2 linked regions of the Pelodiscus sinensis genome follow. The protein of the gene in region 1 purifies or fractionates together with the protein of each later gene. This does not show direct contact. Links are inferred from orthologs where the notes say so. Each region holds a gene or a part of one and is shown in the gene's direction. Other genes may lie near its edges.

The links. The genes of interacting proteins can lie anywhere in the genome.
Region 2: the proteins of NEK7 (region 1) and ANKS6 purify together in Homo sapiens (affinity purification with mass spectrometry; 3 studies listed by BioGRID and IntAct, with this or other methods). This does not show direct contact. The link is inferred for Pelodiscus sinensis from reciprocal best matches to the Homo sapiens genes NEK7 and ANKS6.

The regions. Positions count from the first base shown.
Region 1 is NC_134719.1:45,899,421-45,907,373, reverse strand, and holds the start of NEK7 (serine/threonine-protein kinase Nek7), read left to right. Parts: upstream 1-4,932; 5' UTR 4,933-5,275; intron 5,276-5,475; exon of another isoform or gene 5,476-5,695; intron 5,696-6,083; exon of another isoform or gene 6,084-6,118; intron 6,119-7,137; exon of another isoform or gene 7,138-7,953. UniProt on the Homo sapiens protein: Protein kinase which plays an important role in mitotic cell cycle progression. Required for microtubule nucleation activity of the centrosome, robust mitotic spindle formation and cytokinesis.
Region 2 is NC_134712.1:142,920,575-142,927,605, reverse strand, and holds the start of ANKS6 (ankyrin repeat and SAM domain-containing protein 6), read left to right. Parts: upstream 1-4,031; 5' UTR 4,032-4,133; coding exon 4,134-4,483; intron 4,484-6,310; coding exon 6,311-6,810; intron 6,811-7,031.

The DNA.
Region 1 (7,953 bases):
CTCCTCAGGCAAGGAGTTCCACAGATTGACTATGTGCTGTGTGAATAATTTCCTTTTATTTGTTTTAAACTTGCTGCCCATTAGTTTCATTTGGTAGCTCCTAGTTCTTATATTATGGGAACAAGTAAATAACTTTTCCTTATTCACTTTCTCCACACCGCTTTTGATTTTATATCTCTAACATATCCTCCCTTAGTCTCCTCTTTTCCAAGCTGAAAAGTCCCAGTCTCTTTAATCTCTCCTAATATGGGACATGTTCCAAACCCCTAATCATTTTAGTTGCCCTTCTCCGAACCTTTTCTAATGCCAGTATATCTTTTTTGAAAGGAGGAGGCCACATCTGTACGCTATTCAAGATGTGGGCGTACCATGGATATTCTTCCTCTTATTCTCTATCCCTTTTTTAATGATTCCTAACATTGTTTGTTTTGACTGCCGCTGCACACTGCGTGGACGTCTTCAGAGAACTATCCACGATGACTCCAAGATCTCTTTCCTGATTAGTTGTAGCTAAATTAGCCCCCCCTCATATTATATGTATAGTTGGGGTTATTTTTTCCAATGTGCAGGGCTTGACAAACCCCAGCGAGAGCCACTCGCCAGCCTCGTGCTGCACATGTGCCAGACCGGCACTGCGCATGCGCGATGCGCTGGTGAATGGGGCGCTCGGACAGACTGGCTGAAATTTACTTGCCCTGGGCGAGTAGATTCAGTGGTTTGTCAAGCCCTGCCAATGTGCATTACTTTACATTTATCCACATTAAATTTAATTTGCCATTTTGTTACCCAGTCAGTTTGGTGAGATCTTTTTGAAGTTCTGCATGGTCTGCTTTGGTCTTAACTAGCTTGAGCAGTTTAGTATCATCTGCAAACTTTGCCACCTCACTGTTTACCCATTTCTCCAGATCATTTATAAATAAGTTGAATAGAATTAGTCCTAGAACTGATTCTTGGGCAACACCACTAGTTATCCCTCTCCATTCTGAAAATTTACCATTTATTCCTACCCTTTGTTTCCTATCTTTAAACCAGCTCTTAGTCCATGAAAGGATCTTCCCTCTTATCCCATGACAACTTAATTTACATAAGAGCCTTTGGAGAGGGACCTTGTCAAAGGCTTTCTGGAAATCTAAGTACACTATATCTACTGGATCCCCTTTGTCCACATATTTGTTGACCCCTTCAAAGAACTCAAAGGCTATATCTACACTGGCGGGTTCTTGCGCCAGAAATATGCAAATGAGGCTAAGCGTGGAATATCGCCGAGCCTCATTTGCATACCTAATGAGCTGTCATTTTTGCGGAAGAGGCTCTTGTGCCAGAAGGAGCATCTACACTGTCCCTTCTTGCGCAAGAAAAACCCTCTTGCGCAATGCCGTTATTCCTGAAAATAATCAGTGTAGCAGCATTGCGCAACAGGGTTTTTCATGTGCAAGAAGGGGCAGTGTAGACAGCTCCTTCTGGTGCAAGAGCCTCTTCCGCAAAAATTAGGTATGCAAATGAGGCTCGGTGATATTCCACGCTTAGCCTCATTTGCATATTTCTGGTGCAAGAACTCACCAGTGTAGACATAGCCTAATAGATTAGTAAGACATGATTTCCCTTTACAGAAACCATGTTGACTTTTGCCCAACAAATTATGTTCTTCTATGTGTCTGACAATTGTATTCTTTACTATTTGTTTCAACTAATTTGCCCGGTACTGATGTTAGACTTACCAGTCTGTAATTGCTGGGATCGCCTCTAAAGCCTTTTTTAAATATTGGCATTACATTAGCTATCTTCCAGTCATTGGGTACAGAAGCTGATTTAAAGGATAGATTACAAACCAGAGTTAATAGTGCCGCAATTTCACTTTTGAGTTCTTTCAGAACTCTTGGGTGAATGCCATCTGGTCCCGGTGACTTGTTACTGTTAAGTTTATCAATTAATTCCAAAATCTCCTCTAATGACACTTCCATCTTTGACAAGTCTGCAGATTTGTCACCCACAAAGGACGGTTCAGGTTTGGGAATCTCCCTAACATCCTCACCCTTGAAGACTGAAGCAAAGAATTCATTTAGTTTCTTCACATTGACTTAAATAGTCGTTAAGTGATCCTTTTGTATCTAGACCATCCAGGGGCCCCACTGGTTGTTTAGCAGGCTTTCTGCTTCTGATGTACTTAAACATTCTGTTATTACTTTTTGAGTTTTTGGCTAGCTGTTCTTCAAACTACTTTTTGGCTTTTCTTATTCATTTTTACACTTCATTTGACAGTGTTTATGTTCCTTTCTATTTACCTCACTAGGATTTGACTTCCACTTTTTAAAAGATGTGTTTTTATCTCTCACTGCTTCTTTTTCATGGCTGTTCAGCCATGGTGGCTCTTTTTTAGTTCTTCTATGATTTTTTTTTTAATTTGGGGTATACATTTAAGTTGGGCCTCTATTTTGTTGTCTTTGAAAGCATCCATGCAGCTTACAGGGATTTTACTTTAGTCACAGTACCTTTTAATTTCTGTTTAACTAACCTCCTCATTTTTGCATAGTTCCCCTTTCTGAAATTAAAGCCACAGTGTTGGGCTGCTGAGATGTTCTTCCCACCACAGGAATGTTAAATGTTATTATATTATGGTCACTATTTCTAAGTGGTCCTATTATAGTTACCTCTTGGACCGGATCCTACGCACCATTCAGGACTAAATCGAGAATTGCCTCTCCCCTTGTTGGTTCCTGTACCAGCTGCTCCAAGAAGCAGCCATTGAAGATAAAGAAATTTTGTCTCTGCATTTTGTCTTGAGGTGACAAGCACCCAGTCAATACGGGGATAGTTAAAATCCCCCACTATTATTGAGTTCTTTATTTTGATAGCCTCTCTAATTTCCCTTAGCAGGAACCGCTACACCAGCTTGGCAATAGGCTAGGGCACCCCGCAGGCAAGGGATGCTTTGGCATCCCAGTCCCGTTAAAGGTGAAGCTTACTAGTTAATCCTTCACATCCCTATGGATACCTGTTGTGTGGCAGCAATGCACAGGCCTAGAAACAAAAACTTAGGTGCCATGAGTATAATCATCTGCAGGGTTAGATGGCAGCTGAGTGGAAGCTTTGTGGCTCACATTGGTTCTTAAAAATGGAACTCAGACACCTAGGTACCCTTGTGGATTGGACCCTCAGGCTGTTTGTTGAACTTTAGATTAAGAAATGATTTAAAGGATAAATATGCTAGTTTCTAATTCTTCTTCTAGAAGGAAAGCTAATAGGAGGGAGACAGAAGATTTCCACACAGAACTCTTTTCTTTCCCTATCAGGTGCTACTGCTGTTCAAGCTACCGGCAGAGAACACTGGCTATGTCTACACTGCAGTTAGCCACCTGTGGGTGGCCCATCAGCTGAATCCAGCTTGTAAGACTTAAGTTAAGGGGCTAATTAATTGCTGTGATTGTTGGAGCCCTAAAGCCTGGGCTCCAACCCAAGCCCCTAGGTTGAGTCAGCAGATTTTTAATTAAATTGTAGACACGCCCACTGAGAACTCCAAACTGTTTAGGCTAGCACCAGCTCTTCCACTTCAGTGTTTCATACCTCCTGAGTCCCCATTTCAGAATTCAGAAAGGATCAAGATCTCTTTGGGGAGAGCTTCTCCATCACTCCAGAAAAAGAAAAAGCTACTTTCCTATGTATTTTTAGAAGAGCTGTTTATTTTTAATTCCTAAGCACAGGTTTACATTCAGTCTTTTTCCAATAGGTTACTACCAGAAACAGGCAACATGTCAGCAGAAAGTCAGGATTATTTTGCATGCTGTTAGGAAGCTTTCATTTTTATTTCTAAGGGATTATGGTTCGTCCCCAAGGGAACTACTACCAGCAAACAAGTTTTTAAACACATTCTTACTCTAATGTAAGTCCTTATTTGTGTTTAAAAAACAAACATAAGAATGGCCACACTGGGTCAGACCAAAGGTCCATTTAGCCCAGTACCCTGTCTGCTGACAGGGGCCAATACCAGATGTCTCAGAGGAAGGGATCACAACAGGTAATCTTCACATGATCCCTCCCCTGTCACCCACTTCCAGAAGAACAGAGGCTAGGGACACCATTCCTACCCACACTGGCTAATAGCCATTGATGAACCTTACCTCCATGAATCTAGCTAGCTCTTTTTTGAACCCAGTTGAAGTTCTAGACTTCACCGCATCCTCTGGCAAGGAGTTTCAGAGGTTGATTGTGCACTGAGTGAAGAAATACTTCCTTTTGTTTGTTTTAAAGCTGCTGCCTATTAACAAACAAAGTTAGCTAAACATATCTCCTTTTTCCACACTATACAGGGAGAGTGTTAGATCAGGGTAGATGGCTTTTCTAATGAATGCTCCACACCTTCCCCTGGACACATTGTTTTTCAGAAATCCTAGGCTTTCTTTTTTCTTTCATGAGAGTTCAGAGTGCTGAGCCCCTCTTACTCTTGTCAAGGGAGCTGCTGTATAATTTATAGGGCCTAGGAGTGCTTCTCAGGGGTTTAGGGTCCTTGGGGCTAGAGAATGCAGAAACACATACAAATTCAGTTTCTGCCTGCGGTCGCAATTTCCACTACACAAAAGCCAAGAATATATTTGCTTGCGGTGGGACGCAGTCGCCATTTATTTGTATTAAGCGCACTGCTACCTCTCAGGAGGAACTAGGCTGCTAGGAAGTTGCAGTTCGGTAACACACCGGGAGCTGGAACCGACGCAGCCTCTGGGGTCCCACACATGGCTGCAGGTTTGGCCAAGGTGCTTCCCAGCGCACCAGCCAGTCTCCTGCCTCTTCGGAAGCAGCGCAGCACCGGGGCCCCTGGTTTCGGAAAGACACGGGCCTGACCCCAAGCCCGGGCGCTTCCCAGCGTGCAGGCCGGCCCCTCCCAGCCCATCCTTTACCGGGGCAGGCCAAACGTCTGCTGCCGCCGCCGTCAGTCCGGCCCTAGCCGTCGCGGGGACACGGCGGGCCAGCATACGCCGCGGCCGGGCCGCTGAGCGCCAGAAGGCGGCGGGGGCCCGCTCTGAGGAGGAGCCCGGCGCCGGCCCCGCCTCTCTCCCCTCGGGGATGCCGGGATGTTTACAGTCCTGGCGGCAGCGGCAGCGGCAGGAGGAGGCGGCGGCGGCTGGGCTGCTACCGCCGCGGCCTCACGGTTCGCGCACGGGGAGCCCCGCACCCGCCCGGAGCGTCCGGCCCCCACTCGGCGCCTGGGCGCGGCACTCTCCGCCGAGGCAGCGAGGCCGGTTCCGGCGGCCCGGCGCGAAGCGGGAGGGACGCGCGCGGTCTGGTGAGGCGCGGGGGGGAGAAGGGGCCGGGAGCTTGGGGCGCGCAGCCGGGGCTGTAACCAAGAAACTCCCTTGCAGGCAGCCAGCGACCTCACACGGGGCCGCCGCGGCGGGAGGACAGTCCCACCTCTCGCCGGGTCTCATTGGCCGCCGCCGCCAGTCACCCGGCCCCCATTGGCTGCAGCTGCCGCCGCTCCGCCCGTGGCCGGGGGCGGGGTGGGGAGAGCGTGTGTCTGTGAAGTGACTCCTGTGAAGTGAAACTCGGCGGGGGGCAGGGCGGCGGCGCGTGCCAAGCCCGGTCTCCTTTCCGGGCTCGGCCGCGCGGCTTTGCGCAGCCCCTGCCACATGCCGGGCGCCACCTGCCCGGGCCTTGGGCGGCGGCAGCGGTAGCGCGAGGAGGCCGGGTCCGGCGGGGCTTGTGTGTATGTAGCCCCGCGATTCGGGCTGGGCGTTATTTAAGGGGGGGGGGGTGTCGTCTTTTCCCGGCGCTCCGGGGTCTGCGGGCGGCTTTGCTGGCTCTTCGGCCAAGCTGAAAACAGCCCCCTGAGAATGGAGGCGGCGTGGGGGCCTCCAAAACTTTAACGCCAAGAAATGTCATTGGTTAGGCGGGGGCTCAGACCCGTCTCTCGAAGTTGGCCTGCTGGTGGTAGGACCTGTGCAGGGGAAGGGGCGGGGAATTCTGTCCCCCAACCGCAGAAAACGTGGCAGGAGATTTTTATTTTTAAAAAATTGGTAATACTGCTCATGAGATCGATGTGCCTCGCTTTACAGGTTGTCTTTTAGTCACCTTGTATGTACGTCTCTTCACAGGGTAGCACAACACAGCCCATCATGTAGGGGCCTTGGTAGGTTACACCAGCCTCCCCTTTTTCATTTCCTTTTTAAAGGTAAAGCGAAAACTGAAACTTCTTCCCCTTTAGCAAATGGCATTTTTGTGTTTTCATTTGTCTTTATTGCTGCTCTTTTTATGGCACGTCTGGTAAGTTTTTTCCATAACAAATGGATATTCCAGGCTTGTAGGTTAACCCTTTCCAGAAATTTTTACATGTCAAATGAAGTCACAGAGACAAGCTGCTAATGTGTTCGTTTAGCTGGGCTGGAGCTCAGTAGTAGTAGGAAATATTTGGTCAATATAGGGCTCAGTTTTGAAAAGACTTGTGTAGTAACATTGCCTATTGGCGAGTTAGTTATTTAGGGTAATCTCCATAGTGATATAAGGCACCTATTGTTTTAATATTAATATTGAAACTTATTGATAGTATATGTTATATGTGACTAAGTATTTTGACAGTGAAGCTTGTGTAGACGTTTTCCCCATGTGTTACTTCATAAGGCGTAATAAAATCTTTATCTTTCTATTTTGAGCATCTCTACTACCTTTTTTAACCAACATAATTTTGAATATGTGAGATTTGAGTACATTTTTTGCAATAAATGTACTCTTCAACAAAGTATACTTAAATATGAGGAATTCAAATTGTAGAACTAAATTTGAAAAGAAAAACAAGAGTCCAGTTGAATGCCAGGGTTATAATACTGATCTTAGGTTCTGTAGTTCTTAAAATGTTGAATCTGATGATTTTTTTGTGCCGTGTTGGTGTAGCTGTGTTAGATGCTGTGTATGAGAGAGATGAAGTGGGTGAAGTCAAATTTTTTATGGATCAACTTTTGTTAGCAAAAAAAGACAAACTTTGATACTCTACACGCATGGGTTCCCAAACTGGGGTGTGTGAAGAAATTCCAGGGGGTATGCGAGGCGACCCAGTCCCCCCTCCCCCAATCAAGTTTTGCTGCCCTGGTCAGTTCCTTCCCCCCCCCCCCCCCCGACAAGTTTTGCTATTTTGGGGTGGAGGGGCATGAGGGTTTTTCAAAAATCAAGAAGGGGGCGTGATGCTGAAAAGTTTGGGAACCACTGCGTGAAAGGGAGAAACTTTGGAGCACTGCATAATTGCAGTAAAAACTTCATTGTTATTCTTTATATAATTGTGATGCTTCAGAAAAAAAGAAAAACATTCAAATTAGGGATATAAATGAATAAAGATATTAACTCGGTGACTGATAACAATTCTATCCATTACATGGTTAACCATTCCCGGGGCTCAGGACTCTGTGGGGCTGGCAGTGCTCCGGGCTGGCAAGGCTCGTGGTCCCTTGCCTGTGTGTGTAGGGAGTCAGCTTTTAAGTTGGCTTTCTGCGCATAGGGGCTCCCGTGGAGCCACTTACCCACCACACGGGGTGGTGGTGATGTGATTCTCTGTGGGAGCTAGTGTGCGCTTCCACCTGTGCCCCACACACTACGGCTTCTGATACAGAGGCAGCAGGGGAGGGTGGGTTTGTGTGACTTTCACATCCCTGCTACCAATATTTTCACACTGTAAGGAGTGAAGCATCCATATATGAAATACTGTATTCACTGTTGCTGAATTAGAAATGCAGAAAGTAGAGTAGAAAGCAATGAGACTAGTTTTAAGGTTGAAGAAGAATTTAAATAGTTTCACTTTCTCTGTGATTCTCTAAAAAGGAAGAAATTCAGTGCCGACCTGCAAAGCACTTAAAATAGCTTGTGGCTTTTTTAATGATTTATATGGGAGGCCTGATTATTTTTTAATCTGTTTTTTGATTTTAGAAATATTGGGAATGTAAGGTTTTGCCAAAGGACATTTTATGGGATCTTGAAGTA
Region 2 (7,031 bases), on another chromosome or scaffold:
TGGTTCCTGGGCAAAAAAAGTTTGAGAGCCACTGAAACAGAGGAATCCCAGGCCTCTCCCCCGAGTTAATGCAATGCAAGTTGGGTTAATGCAATTGCAACATAGTTACATGGTGGTGGTGGTGGAGGGGTCCTATGGGGCCCAAACCCATCCCTATTAGTAGAGAAGAGTAGGGGGAGATTTTAGAGGGAGTCATATGACACGCTTTACTTCCGGTCATGTGTCTATCTTGACTCTGGGAGTACTATCTCCAAGGGTGGCCAATGGAGGTCAGGGGGATGGCTAACAGGGGTCAGGGAGCATTGCTAACATGTCCCCAATTTTGGTTCAGAAAATACGGTCACCATAGCCATAATGCCCAGATCTCTTTTCAGCAGTACTATCACTTAGCTTTCTTCCCTGCCTTCCATTTTGTAATTGTGCATTTGATTTTTCTTTCCTAAGTTTTTTGTGCTTGTCTTTGAATTTCATCTTGTTGAATTCAGACCAGTTCTCCAATTTGTTAAGGTCATTTTGAATTCTAATCCTGTCCTCCAAAGTGCTTGAACCCCTCCCAGGATAGTGTCGTCTACATATTTTATAATCATGTTCTCCACTCTTATTATCCAAGAAGTAATTACTAAAAATAATATAATAGTATTGGGCACAGCATTGATCTCTGTTGGACCCTTCTAGATATGCCCTCCCAGTTTGACAGTGAGCCATTCATAATTACTATTTAAGTATATTTTTTCAACCAGTTTTGCAGCCACTTTATAGTAGTTTCCTCCAGACCACATTTCCCTAGTTTGCTTATGTCAAGAAGGATTATGTCAAAATCCTTAATAAAATCAAAATATATCATATCTACTGCTTCACCCCTATCCACTAAACAAGTAACTCTGTCTAATTTAATTTCTTTGGCAACACTTGTTCTTGAGAAATCCTTGCTGGCTATTTCTTATAACCCACTTATCCTCTAGATGCTTACAAATTGATGATTTATTAATTTGTTCCAGTATCTTTCCAGGTTTGGAAGTCAGACTGATCCTCTTTGTGCGTTTTTATAGAAACTTAGGGCTAGATTCACAAAGATTTAGGTACCTATGTCCAATTTTAGATTCCTCTACAATTCCCAAAACTCCTGTTAAAACATTTAGGCACCTTAACTCATTCAGTGCCTGCATATTCAGGGTAAAGTTTCTTTAAGTGTCTAAATGTCTGCCTTTGAACATGCACTTTTACCTTACTTTAGGCATCTGGATGCTTATTTCCCACATAAGCTCCAAAACAAATCACAAACCAGGGAAGATAGGGAGGCTAATGCATATCTTGTGTATGGCGCCCGATTTGGCAGGCATGATCAGAGAGTGCCTACTGAAATGAGTCCCAGGGGAGACATGGGGGGTGAGGGGGATGAAGGGTCAGGTACCCCCCCAAATGTAGAGGGGGAAGAATAAGAGGCCAGCAGCCAGTGGGAAGAGTCATTGCCCCTGGGCCCATGTTTTGGCTGGGGCTGGATTCCTTTGCTTTCTGCAGCCAGTGAGTGCAGAGTACACCCCTTCTCCCTTCCCCCAAGCAATGTGGCCTGGGGGGATTAATGGGGGAGGGGGCAGATGCAGACTGCAGGATCAGGGGGCCCCTGCATTCAAGGGCAGTGGGAAGTGTAGCGATTTGGCCACAAACTACTGTGTTCCCTCCAGCTCCCAGCATTGCTCCGCCTTCTGCTGCTGGTGAATGCAGGGCGTCCCAACCTCTGCAGCATGCTCCAGGTCCCCGGATAATCCCTTGGGCTACATTGCTTGGGGAGGGGGTTCTGCACTCCCTGGCAGTGGGAATTGAGCAACCTGGCTAGGAATTGGCAGAGCTGAGCAGGCTGGGGCTAGGTCACTCAGCTTCCTGCTCCTAGTGGTGAGGGCTTGGGTGGAGTGGTGGCAGGGCATGAACTGACTGGGTTCTCTTCCCTGAGGATAACAGGTGGAACAGGGAGGAGACACCTGGGCAGTGATCACGTTACCTGTGCTTCCCCGCCTGTGTTCCTTAGCACCGCTGATCGATCCTATTCAAAATCTGGCTGAAGGGGGAGGACATGACACTACCCACCTCATAACTTTTATCCTAGTGGTTAGAATACTCATGCAGGATATGGGAAACCTGGGTTTGATTCCCCTGTGAGAGGGAGAAAAGATTTGAATAGATGTCTCCCATAACCCATGTGAGCACTCTGTCCACTGGGATAGTAGTTACAAGGCTGGGCCTTCTTCTTCCTCTGGCTGTTTTGTTGGCTATGCATCTGCCTATCTCAATCTCTCAAAGAACAGGTTAGGCACCTAAACCACCTGACTCACGACAGGGTATTCCAGGTGCTTACATGCAGACTGGATTCTGGCAGTGAACTCTATGATGGAGTTTGACTTAATCTCTGGTCAGCATCTCCCATTGGCTGGTTTAGCAAGCGCCCTACCTAGTATTTTGGCAGTTGTGAATCTGTCTGAGGTGCAGCTCTCTCCCTATTCATTGTATAGGGAGTTTAGGCTCCTTACTCAAGATTTGTGAAACACGTTGGTGTTCCTGTGACTTTCTTAGTGCCTAAAAACTAGATGTTGTGAGACAGTGTTGCTATGCCTTGATCACCTTTGTGACTCTAGCCACTTGGCCTTCCCCTTACTGCTAAAAATTATGGCTACGTCTACACTGGCCCCTTTTTCGGAAGGGGCATGCTAATTTTGAAAGTGGGAATAGGGTAGTAGGAATAAGAGATCCTCCGGAATAGGGCTTTATTCCGGAGGATCGGGCCAGTCTAGACGCTTTTTTTCCGGCTTTTCCCCAAGACGGAAAAAAAGCGTCAGACATGTTTATTTAAATCCGCGGGGGATATTTAAATCCCCCGCGGATTTCCCTATTCCCACTTTCAAAATTAGCATGCCCGTTCCGAAAAAGGGGCCAGTGTAGACGTAGCCTATGATTTTTGTTTGGCCTTGTTAACTTGGGGTAACTAAGATGTGGGAGACAAAAACACAGTGACAAGAAGGCACTTTATTTGAACAATGAGGGAAAAGCCTGAGGAAATATCTCTGGAATAAGATCTTGGGCACTCATCCACTCTGGAACAAGATCTTCCACTCATCTGCAGAAGTGGGTTGTGCCCACGAAAGCTCATGATACAATGTATATTTTTATTAGTCTCTGAGGTGGTACAGGACCACTCATTTTTAAGTTTTTTTTTAAGCTACAGATTAATACTGCTACCCCTCTTAGACTTTTGATCAATATGTGTAACTGGGGGTGGAGGGATAGGGTAGGAATGGAAGATATTCTGCGGATTGAGAAGAACGCATTGTAAACCGTATTTGAAATGCATTTTAAAGTGTTTAGAAAAACAAAAATGGTTTTACTCTAGAAACTAATCTACAATGCAAAGTGACTAAGCTCAGTAACATATTGTGTCAGTGCACCCCAGCCCAGCACGGCCAGGCCCTGCACTGGGAGCTGGGGGAAGGGGAGGGCAGACAAGGGGCTGGAACATATGACCTATGAGGAGAAGCTGAGGGAGTTAGAAATATTTAGTCTGCAGAAGAGAAGAGTGAGGGGGGATTTGATAGCAGCCTTCAACTTCCTGAAGGGGGGTTCCAAAGAGGATGGAGAAAGGCTGTTCTCAGTAATGACAGATGGCAGAACAAGGAGCAATGGTCTCAAGTTGCGGTGGGAGAGGTCCAGGTTGGATATTAGGAAAAACTATTTCACTAGGAGGGTGGTGAAGCACTGGACTGGGTTACCTAGGGAAGTAGTGGAGTCTCCACCCCTAGAGGTGTTTAAGTCTGGGCTTGACAAAGCCCTGGCTGGGTTGATTTAATTGGGATTGGTCCTGCCTTGGGCAGGGGGCTGGACTTGATGACCTCCTGAGGTCTCTTCCAGCTCTATGGTTCTATAAGCCATTGAGAGCCCTTCCCACATCAGTCACTGCAATTGCCCAGGCGTGTCTCCAGGACGGGGCCCGCGCGCGGGAAGGAACTGCTGGGGTGTAACATGAGACCGGCCGCCCTTCCGCGGGCGGAGCGCCGAGCTCTCTCTCCTTCCAGGGCAGCGAGGCCCATGCCGGGGGCGCAGGCAGGGGTCGGAGGCGGCGGCTGCGCGGGGCTCGCACGCCGCGGCCGATGGGGGAATGCGGGGTTCCCACCCAGGTCCAGCTCTTTCTCCGCGCCTGCGAGCAGGGGGACTACGAGAGCGCCCGGCGCCTCCTGGGGCTGCCCGGGGGCGGCGCGGAGGCGGCGGGCGGCTCCGCTTGCGGGGCGGAGGAGGCGGCGGCGGCGGAGCCCGGAGCCGGGGAAGCGGCAGCGCCTCCCCCTTCGGTGCCAGTGGATTGCACGGACGAGGCCGGCAACACCGGGCTGCAGTTCGCCTCGGCCGGGGGCCACGAGCAGCTGGTGCGGTTCCTGCTGCGCAAAGGGGCCTCGGTGCAGAGTCGGAACCACTACGGCTGGAGCCCGCTCATGCAGGCGGCCAGGTAGGGCCGGGCGCTGCCCGCATCCGCTCCCCGGCCGCCACTGAGCATGCTCCGGCTTGCAGCCGTGGCCCGGTGGGGCCTGCCCCCTCTCAGCAGGCTGGGGCGTGAGAGCTGGTAGGGCGCAGGGGTTCGGCAGTGGGCTGAGCAACGCCTCTTCCAGCAGCACCCCGGGCTGCTCGGGCGTGGCTTGGCTGTGAGGGTAACCACCCAGCCTGTTTCTTCATTTCAAGGGAGCGAGTTAGAAAACAAAGCAAAGCCCTGTGCCCTGCTGGAGAGCAGAGGAAACGTCGGCTGTGGCTGGCACAGAGCGGAGTTGTTTCTTCCTGAGCAGCATCATTTGTACACGGCTGCTAGACGAGTGTGCCTGTTCCTCCCTCCACATCCTCGTGGCTCTTGCTCATAAGAAACAAGCAGCCAGTTCCCTCCCCGAGTAGTCAAAGTATTACAGGTCCGGTCCTTTGGGAGAATCGTTGTGCACTCTGGACAGAGAAGGCGTTCTGGTTTTGATCATTCAAACTCTTGCTTTAAGCTATTTTAAAATACCAGTTTAAACAATCACATTGCTTGCAAGAAATGATTGTTTTGCTGGTGAGGAAAGGCATGTCAAATGTGAAATTGAACAAATGTTAGAATTTAATGTTAGTACATTTCCTTTTCCCATTGTCCTTTAGTTTAGAATTATGATAAATAGTGGGCAGGTCACCATAGCAATTTATAAATGTCATCAAATTACAACTAATACCACTGAATAACTGCACTATGTGGCTGTGTCTAGACTGGCAAGTTTTTCCGCAAAATCATCTGCTTTTGCGGAAAAACTTGCCAGCTGTCTACACTGGGCGCTTGAATTTCCGCAAAAGTACTGATGATCTCATGTAAGATTGTCAGCGCTTTTGCGGAAATACTATGCTGCTCCCGTTCGGGCAAAAGTCTTTTTCCGAAAGACTTTTGCGCAAAAGGGCCAGTGTAGACAGCAGAGATTTCTTTTCTGCAAAAAAGCCCCGATCGCGAAAATGGCGATCGGGGCTTTTTTGCAGAAAAACGCGTCTAGATTGGCCACAGACGCTTTTCTGCAAAAAGTGCTTTTGCGGAAAAGCGCCCTGCCAATCTAGACGCGCTTTTCCGAAAATGCTTTTAACGGAAAATTTTTCCATTAAAAGTATTTCCGGAAAATCATTCCAGTGTAGACGTAGCCTGTATGTATTTTTAAAAGCAGCATACAAATAAAAGCAACTATTGAGCATCATCTCCTATGGGAATAAAAGATGCCTAAAAGTTTATTTTATTTGTTACTGTTCCTTTGGTTAGGAAATCTTGACTGAGGAGGTCAGATGTTTGGTCTACTGAAATCATGAAAAAAGTCCTGTTTCAGTGGGCTTTCCCTAATTTCTCTAAACGTTTCACAGGACAAAATAGAAAACAGTTTATAACATTCAATAAATAGAATCAGATTTCATACACTTTATCAGTCATAGAGTTTACTATAGCATTTATCACAGCTGTCTATGGCCCCAACCCTGCACATGGGATTATTCACTTTTTAAATTATATGTATACTTAAATAACTTCTTGATCTAGGATATTTGGGTTTTGTCCAGATCCTTATAGTTCTGTTGATTCTTTTAAAACCTAATTTCAAAGGATGGGGGTTGGGCTGCAGTGATAGTCTTAAGTACACATGGTACATTTTCAATTGCCGTAGGTACAGTAGGGAAGTTGAGCATACCAAATAACTGTTGTAGCAAAATTTTCTCACATGCTGTCTGTAAAAGATATTTATTACAGAAAAACTGGTATCTCTTTTCAATTCTTTTGCTTTCTTTTAAGGTTTGGACATCTAACTGTGGCCCACATCTTGTTGGAGAATGGTGCTGATCTGAATGCACAGAATAAACTGGGAGCCAGTGTACTTACAATGGCTTCTAGAGGTGGCCATGTCAGTGTGGTGAAATTGTTGCTGGAATCTGGAGCTTTTGTTGATAATTATGACCATTTTAATACCAGTTTCGTTGAGAACAGCAAAGAGGAACTGCCAGATATAATACCACTAATAGCAGCTGCCCAACATGGACATGAAGCAGTGGTGCATTTACTACTGGACTGGGGAGCTGATTGTAATTACTCTTTGAAGACAGTGGGCTGGAGTCCTCTAATGCTGGCAGCAGTTAGTGGAAAGCTGAGTGTGGCACAACAGCTCGTGGACAAGGGAGCCAATCCTAATCATCTAAATGTGCTGCATAAAACATCTTTTGAAATCTCCATTGGCTTCAAACATAAAGACATGAAAGATTATCTGGAATCAGTAACAACTGTCAGACCCCAGACAGGTATGGGCTACTATTCTTTTGGCTTCTTTTCTGCAGGGTTTAGTTTAGACATTTTGGAGACATAAGAACCAAAAAAGTAGTTATTAATGTACATTTTATTCTGTGAGGCACAGAGCTAAGAACATAAGAATGGACATACTGGGTCAGTCCAAAAGTCTCTCTAGCCCTGGAGTGGAGGCGGTTCGCTAAGGTTAGCCCCTGACCAGCCACCAATGCTTTAT